Linked DNA regions of Nothobranchius furzeri. The main gene of each other region encodes a partner of the protein of the gene in region 2 in a complex. Links are inferred from orthologs where the notes say so. Each region holds a gene or a part of one and is shown on either strand. Other genes may lie near its edges.

The links.
Region 1: eif3ea (region 2) and eif3g share a complex: the UniProt entries of both Homo sapiens proteins name them as parts of the eukaryotic translation initiation factor 3 (eIF-3) complex. The link is inferred for Nothobranchius furzeri from reciprocal best matches to the Homo sapiens genes EIF3E and EIF3G.

What each region holds. Positions count from the first base shown.
Region 1 is NC_091745.1:3,309,795-3,313,932, forward strand, and holds the start of eif3g (eukaryotic translation initiation factor 3 subunit G), read left to right. Parts: upstream 1-1,338; 5' UTR 1,339-1,419; coding exon 1,420-1,442; intron 1,443-1,531; coding exon 1,532-1,578; intron 1,579-2,497; coding exon 2,498-2,586; intron 2,587-2,675; coding exon 2,676-2,735; intron 2,736-2,810; coding exon 2,811-2,915; intron 2,916-3,202; coding exon 3,203-3,398; intron 3,399-3,482; coding exon 3,483-3,593; intron 3,594-3,702; coding exon 3,703-3,839; intron 3,840-3,989; coding exon 3,990-4,096; intron 4,097-4,138. UniProt on the Homo sapiens protein: RNA-binding component of the eukaryotic translation initiation factor 3 (eIF-3) complex, which is required for several steps in the initiation of protein synthesis.
Region 2 is NC_091745.1:54,014,676-54,018,956, reverse strand, and holds the start of eif3ea (eukaryotic translation initiation factor 3 subunit E-A), read right to left. Parts: upstream 2,801-4,281; 5' UTR 2,758-2,800; coding exon 2,668-2,757; intron 1,806-2,667; coding exon 1,688-1,805; intron 1,444-1,687; coding exon 1,326-1,443; intron 1-1,325. UniProt on the Homo sapiens protein: Component of the eukaryotic translation initiation factor 3 (eIF-3) complex, which is required for several steps in the initiation of protein synthesis.

The DNA of each region.
Region 1 (4,138 bases), about 51 Mb from region 2:
CCCCGGTTCTCCAGCAGCTTCACTGGCTCCCAGTTAAATTCAGGTCCATCTTCAAAATTCTCCTTCATACCTTCAAAGCAATCCACAACCTCTCTCCTCCATATATCTCAGACCTTATAAGTATTCACACCCCGTCCCGTTCACTCAGATCTTCTTCTTCCATCCATCTTGCGGTTCCTTCTGCCCGTCTCGCTACCACGGGGAGCAGAGCTTTCAGCCGCTCTGCTCCTCGACTCTGGAACTCACTTCCCCCAGACATCAGGAACGTCGACAGTTTTACCCTTTTCAAAACAAAACTCAAAACACACATGTTTAAATCTGCCTAAAACCTCTGATTTTATTGAAATGTTTCTCTCTGTTGTTTCTTCTTTGGGTTTTATTATTGTTTTATTGTATTTTATTACGTGTTTTGTGTAAAGTGACCTTGGGTGTCCTGAAAGGCGCTTTGAAATAAAATGTATTATTATTATTATCATTATAAATCGTCTTTATTTGTATAGCGCCTTCTTAGGGTTCTACAACCCCCCCAAGGTGCTTCACAACACAGTCATTCACATATTATTGCTATTTTTTAAAGACAACATAAGAACCTCTAGTTTTATATGAAATTAATTCTGCACACGTTTTGTCTGCACCTGCTACTGCTGACAGTTTTTCTTTCCTGCAGCGTTGGAACAAATCCTGATGTAATGACGGTTTTCTTATGTTGATATGACCTATCAGGAAAAACAAACATCTTGTATTTATTATTATTATTGTTGTTGTTGTTGTTGTTGTTATTATTATTTCATAACTATAATTGCTATGACCCAAAATCTATGCTGGAATAGTGATTGAGCACTTTTGTAAAAGTTCCAGTACTTTTATTGCTCCACTGAAAACCAGATTGAAGTTTCATTTCATTTGTTATTTTTTTCTCATTCTGCAATTTCCTTCATCACTAATTCACAACACACTCATCAAGTACAATGTTCCAAGTGAAAAAAGAGAGACAGCAGGGAGGAGGAAGAAGTTAATGTTTTCTATAATATGTGCATTTTTTCTTTGCTTGTAATGAAATAAAAACGATCTAATATTGCCACTGGGGTGATTTGTAAACTCATCATACTTCTTTTGACTTTTGAGAAATTTGACAACAAATGTGTAAATCTGATGCTCCTAATATTTTTAAGCACAAATACGAATTAAGTTACCACAGAATTCACATTAAGAATCCACATGAGAAGTTATTTTCATAACAATAACAACGAATTTTTATTATGCAATTTTACGATTTTGTCAACAATTTTTGTCAGCACCAAAAATAAGCTCTTATTTTGAAAAAGTCTGACGAGTTGTGCCTTTATTGCGAAGTTTTAACCTCCGGAAGTGCGGTGCTCGGTTCGCGCTGGTTCTTCCGAAGCTAGGCTAGCCGAGAGGATGCCGTCGATTGAATACGACGAGTAAGAGTCTAAATGAAACGTAGGGTTTTTGTGTCTTTATTGAATGCGTGTAACCGTTGTAATAACGAGTTTGTGTGATTCTATTCTAGCTCAAAGCCCAGCTGGGCTGACCAGGTGGAGGAGGAAGTAGATGAAGGTAAACAGCATTTTAGCTTCGCTAGCTAGCTCGGTGGCAAATGTGACCTAGAGGGTTGGATGCTTAAGATCCTAAAACCGTAGGTGATAATAACCCTTGATGAAAACAGCAGAGGCTTATTCACAAGTTTAACAATTTTTATTTATAGATACAACCCAGGTCGGGATAAAAAGTAGACTAAAAACTCTAAAACACGGGAGGGAGGAGCGACGACAATGCTGGCCCTGGGACTACACACGCAACGCCATCTATTTCTATTTAAAAGCACAAAGCCGCTGTAGGGACCCGAGACAAGAGACAATAATATAAAGAAAAACACTCAGTGCTCCCCTGACCCGGTTACACAAAGGAGGCCGGTGTTGCAGTTCCACGTGGTTGAACAGCATTAAAGACGAGCTAAAATATGCAAGTTTGTTAAATTTTATAAGAATCTGCCCTTAAATCAGTCATGGGTTGGCGTGACTGAGAGACGAACGGCTTAAGAAATTGCGTTATGATAATGAGGCAGTGGTCCCCTGACAGTGACGTAGGGGTGTAAAAACAGTCAAGATAATGATGCTGACGGAAACTAGACTGATTAAATATTCATAAAACATTTAAAGTCGTCAACTGTTCCAGTTGATGTGAAAACGAAGATGTGACGTCACATCAGGAGCATCCTGATCCTGACAGTTCAGATCAGTCCCAGATAAACTCACATTTAGTTGAAAGTTATTAAAGTATCCCCGGATGTTAAGCTTATGGTTGTTTTTCGTGCATCTGCGAATGTTGTATACCTTTATCTTGATTATATTCTTACTTCCCATATTTGCTGTTTTCTTACTTTAATCGTTCTTTTTTGCACAAAGTGCCGCAGCAATTTCCTAATCTGATTTCTCGCACATATGTCACTAAAACCCTAATGATTCTGATCCCATAGGCACATTACCATCACCAAAGGAGACCATCAAAGGAAACATCAAAACAATCACTGAGTATAAGATAGATGATGATGGTAAAAAGTTCAAGGTACTTTGTTTATGTTGCATCAATAAATTTAAAAGGCAAATAATAAATGTCTCCTGAAATATTATAAGTGAAACATTTTGGTTCTCTAGATTGTGCGGACCTTCAAGATCGAGACGAGGAAAGCCTCAAAAGCTGTTGCCAGAAGAAAGGTCCGTGTTTTATTAAATCATATCAGTGCAGTTAATAAATGAACCGCCTTCTGATATTTACCACTCTCATTTCAGAACTGGAAGAAGTTCGGCAACTCTGAGTTTGACCCACCGGGTCCTAATGTTGCAACCACCACTGTCAGCGATGACGTCTTCATGACTTTCATCTCCAGCAAGGAGGTACAGGATATGTCCAAGTTGCTGTTTTCCTTCAGAACGCAAAAACGAACAAGAACATTCTTTAGGAAATGTTCTAATGGAGCATCGATAGTTCGCAGCAGGTTTAAAATGCTGCTTGCACTACTTTTTACAGCTTGCTTGGTGTTCACAATTACCACATTCAACAGCTCTAGATCTTCTCATTCTGTAATGTGACTCAGAATTTATGAAGTTCATGGCTGCAAATTTGTAATTTTTACTGTAATCAAGTTGTTTTATCAAAGTTGCTAATCTTGCTTTTTTTGCAGGACCTGAATGCCCAAGACCAAGATGAGGATCCAATGAACAAGCTCAAAGGGCAGAAGATTGTGTCTTGTCGTATTTGTAAAGGGGACCATTGGACGACCCGCTGCCCGTATAAGGACACGCTGGGCCCCATGCAGAAGGAGCTGGCTGAGCAGCTTGGGCTTTCCACTGGAGACAAGGAAAAGACTGCTGGTTCTGGTACCATTATCACCATTCTCATTACCACACTTGTCTGCTGCTGCTAGTTTCTAAAGGTGTGACAGTAATTGTGGCTTTTCCTAGCTGAGCCAGAGCCTGTTCAGCCTGCACAAAGCAAAACTGGAAAGTATGTCCCGCCGAGCCTGAGAGATGGAGGCACAAGAAGAGGGGAGTCTATGCAGCCTAACCGCAGAGGTCAGTTTGTGTTGGTATGGGTGCTACATTAGCAATATGTGGTCATTTTTAATCTGGTCATGCAGCGTTGAATAAACGTCTCAGTAAAACGAATCATTGCGTTTAACAGCTGATGACAACGCTACCATCCGTGTGACCAACCTGTCTGAGGACACTCGTGAGACAGACTTGCAGGAGCTTTTCAGACCGTTTGGTTCCATCTCAAGGATCTATCTGGCAAAGGACAAGAACACGGGACAGTCCAAGGTTAGTGCTCACCTTAGGGGTGACTGGGCTTTACAAGTGCTGGCCTTTCACAGTTTTTCTGCAACCTGCTGTTATCTACCATCTAGGATTTGAGATTGACGCTGAAAAAATCAAGAATCATCAGTCAGATTTTTTTTTATTGCTCTGCAGGGATTTGCCTTCATCAGTTTCCACCGTAGGGAGGATGCTGCCAGAGCCATAGCAGGAGTGTCAGGATTTGGATATGATCATCTTATTCTCAATGTTGAATGGGCCAAGTAAGTAAATTATCACTGTTGTCAGTAAAATGATCAGTGTTT
Region 2 (4,281 bases):
GTAGCGAGTGAGCTCCTCGGCTCAAACTCTCTTCGGGACGGTTGCAGAAGCAGTGCTTGTCCGGGACTTCAGCAGGTCTCAAGAGCGTTTATTATTATTTTTTTGCCGCTGGTGGCAGCTCTGTGTCGGCCAAGGACTCTGGCTGCGCAGCAGCTGACGTACTGAAAACAAAAGTGCTCCCAAAGGAGCGAAGTAACGTTTCGTTTTGATACCAGTGCAGCCATCCTTCTCAACATGCATCATTGAGTTGAACCAAGTTCAGTAATCGCGGTGGCCCATGATGCAGCGCGGTGGGCTTCTTCATATTGCGATATTTCATTTTTGCGGTTACCGCAACAGCCCTAAAAGGCTTTTAGCACTTCTACTTGTTGTGGTTTTAAAGACGTGTCCAAGTCATTTAGAACAGAGGAAAGAGCCGCAGTGAACTCCGCTTCAGTCGCCATGTTTATGACAAACTCAGCGTTATGGTGTGTGACGTACGCTACTCAGCGCTGATTGGCTCGGTTAGAATTCTCAGGGGGTGGGGTTATTTGAATAGGAGAGTTCCCAGACCCTTTCTCTGTGCAGAATTAAACAGAGGAGGAGTCTGGCAGGCCAGGCTATATCTCCAGTAGTCAACGAGCAAAAAGGCGGGGTACACCCAGGACAGAGTGCCAGTCGACAGAAAATCATGTTCCACAAAATGTTGCCAATAATAGCAGAACAAATTGCAATAATGTCCATTGGCTTTGGAGACAGCTCTTCACGGAGCAAAGATGACATTCTTTATGTATTTAAAATACCACCTTATGAAGAAACAACGCTGTCAGCTAGTCAAAGACAATGTACATTTTTTTTAACTGAAGACTGACAGCAAGAAATAACTAAAAAAGGCTATTTTGACCAAATATCAACTTGGTTTAAACTTTTTCTCCCTTTAAACAGACAGAAACACAGAAATGGAAAAAAAATTGATTAACTGAAAATCCTCGGAGAAAGAACTAAAATGAATAATGAATCTAATCCAGCTACCTGAACCAAAGAAAACATAACTTTAACAGAGTTTTTTAGTCTTTTTGTGAGTCCAACAAATTTCATCAGCAGATATATCGAATGCTTCAATCAATACATGAAGCTCCATGAAGCAAAAGCTACATATTATAATTAAAGCGTGCTGTCATTATGTTTTATCTAAGGAACAGGGAGAAACATGATGGCAATAATGATGCTAAATAAGATGATGAAAAATAATTAGGAATCACAAAAATTAAGGTCCGATGTAAAAAAAGGTTTAAAATAAAAGGGAAACGATGTAGCTTATGAGCTAAAAAAAAAGGAGGCTTTACCTGGTGGACTGCATCTGCCTGGTTGTCTCAGGATCCTCAAACATCTTCACTATCGGTTCTGTCTCAGACTGAAGCTGCTTCAGCTGGGCTACAACCTCTGTCCTCTTCTCCTTCAGCGCTGATAGAGGATGAAGGAAGATTTTAGCTACAGCAGCATCATAAACCAGCATGCACACGATCTAGCCTCTCATACCGGAAACATTGTAAAATAAGTTGACTGCTTAATCAATTCCAAATGGAGTGAAAGACCAGCAAGTAGCTCTTTATGACATCAATAAAAATATACAAAATATACTGATGGGTTCTCTACCTCTGGAGAAAAGGGGATGTGCAGTGTGTGTCCAAAAAGCATCAACACTTACTATGAGGGATTTCCTTCTCAGGGTAAAGGTTTCTGTACACATCCATGGCAAAGTCCACCATGTTTGTGTCACTGAGGAGGTCCAGTTTTCCATGAAGCAGTTCATCCTCGTTGTAGATCTGAAACACACATCATCACACAATAGGACTTTAATATGAAGCAAATAAACTTATATTCGATTGTTACAAAATGCAAGTTATTTCCTAGAAAATATACTTTTTTTAAAAAGCCTTTGTTGCTCCTTTTCTTAAACTTGTATGTTCATATGAGCACCGTTCTTTAAAGTTGACACTAATTCATCACATTGAACCACTGAAGAAAGCAGCATTAAAGTAATCATCTAATTTGATGAACCTTTTTAACAGAAAGCTAAAATGTTCCAAACTACACTCCCAACAAACTATTAAAATGAACTATCGACATGTGATCACTTTAAATATTTAAATTTAGAAAACGTGTGTTGATAAAAGTTACTATTCTCGGTGTGCTTTATCGTTGACTATTTGTGTTTATGTTTTGAAAAACCACCGAAAAATAACCAATTACAACAAATGTCTATGTTGAGAAACGCGCATTTCTGTTAGCTTGGTAAAATCTAGCTTGCTATAATGCTACAAAAAGAAACTACAACTTCCGGTATTGACAACAAAAATAAAGTAAACTAAAGAATTCGCACGTGGATTTTTTTAAATAAGCGTTAACATTTATATACCAATGTATATAGAAACTACTTCAAGCATTGAAACATTGAACAGCACTGTATATTCTCCAAGGGGTTAGTAAAAATGCTCATCTCTCTGCTTTTATTTTTAACTCAGCTGTTTCTATTTCCGGTTAAAAATGTGTAGCATTCGAACACGGACAGACAATGTGGCCAGACTCGACGTGCTTCAGCGTATAAATCTGTTTAAAAAGCAAATATTGTTTCGTAAAAATACCAACAGCTTGTGAAGAAATGTTTTAAGCTGAAATATTTCGTACCCCTTTGACGGACAGGAACTCCAGAAGTGGAAAAACGAGATGACGGTCTAAAAAGTGAGCAATCTTAGTGGTGAGGTCGTACTCCGCCATGTTTGCTACGGGAAAGAGGAAGTGGCTGAATGATGCAGTTACGTACAAGCATACTGACCAATCAGAGACAAGCTCAGCATCCTTTAAAAAAAAAAGAAGAAAAAGACGAACCTGCTGCTTCCATAGAATGTATACAGTAATAATAATATGTTTATATACATATCAGTGCCTGCTTCTACAGAATGCAACATGAGCTTAGAAAATGTGTCACTGGTAAAATTTAAAGTGAACAAATTAATGAGAGTGAAATGCTAATAACATTGATTTGTGTACGCGTGTGGGCATGCAAGTTTCATGTGCTGTCCATTACAAAGTATTTCAATAAGTCTAGACATTAATACATTGAATATGCGTCTCACTCCCCCTTTTTTATTCTTTTGGTAATATTTGTTACATTTCCTGTACAGTGTAGCTGATTGAAAATGCTTGTTGATTTATTTATTTTTTTTACTTCACAGATTTGTCCAAATGATGCATGGCTGTAACACTTGCATTCCCATGATTTGGTCAGTGTTGATGTGGTAAAACATTAACCTTTTCCAGATGTATATAAAGTTTGTTGGAAAGAAAAACATACTTTCTTCCAGGCACCACCGATACGTCTACTAAAACTTTTTCATGAAGCTGAAACCCTTTAAGGGCAAATATTGACATTATTCGTCATCACGACTCCTCGCTCACAGGCCTGCAGTATTATAATGAAAACAACCAGTCATTTTCAATCATGTGACTTTTGCAAAAGGTTAAAATGACCATCCCTCTTTGTCCTCTTTAATAACAGTTACTGGCACACAAAGATGCCTATGTGTTGACCATATCCTGCTGAAAACAGCTAATTTTAACCACCAAATGGCTCATCTCCAACACTTTTCACTGCTACATTGTTTTCTTGACAACCACACTGCACTGTCTTGTGTCCTCACACAATTCTTCCCTTGTTGGCTCTGGCTTCTCTCCCTTCAACCTTCATCACTCTCCACTGACTGATGGCAGGTAGAAATTAGTCATAAAATGACACCACTCATTGTGTCCTGTTACTGTTTTACGGGGTGTTTTTTATAGAAGCAGCATCTGTTCAGCTCCAGTCCTGTGTTAAATTTTGAAAAAAATGGAAAGGGAATTGCAGCGAGAAGGTCCTGGGTTCGCTTCCCGGCGGGGGATCTTTCTGCACTGAGGTTGCATGTTCTCCCTGTGCATGCGTGGGTTCTCTCCAGGTACTCCGGCTTCCTCCCACAGTCCAAAAACATGACTGTTGGGTTAATTGGTCTGTCTAAATTGTCCTTAGGTGTGTGTGTGTGTGTGTGTGTGTGTGTGTGTGTGTGTGTGTGTGTGTGTGTGTGTGTGTGTGTGTGTGTGTGTGTGTGTGTGTGTGTGTGTGTGTGTGTGTGTGTGTGTGCATAATTGTTTGTCCTGTGTGTCTCTGTGTTGCCCTATAATGGACTGGCTCTCTGTCCAGGGTGTACCCCGCCTGATTGCCCATTGACCACTGGAAATAGGCACCAGCCCCCCCCGCTACCCTACGTG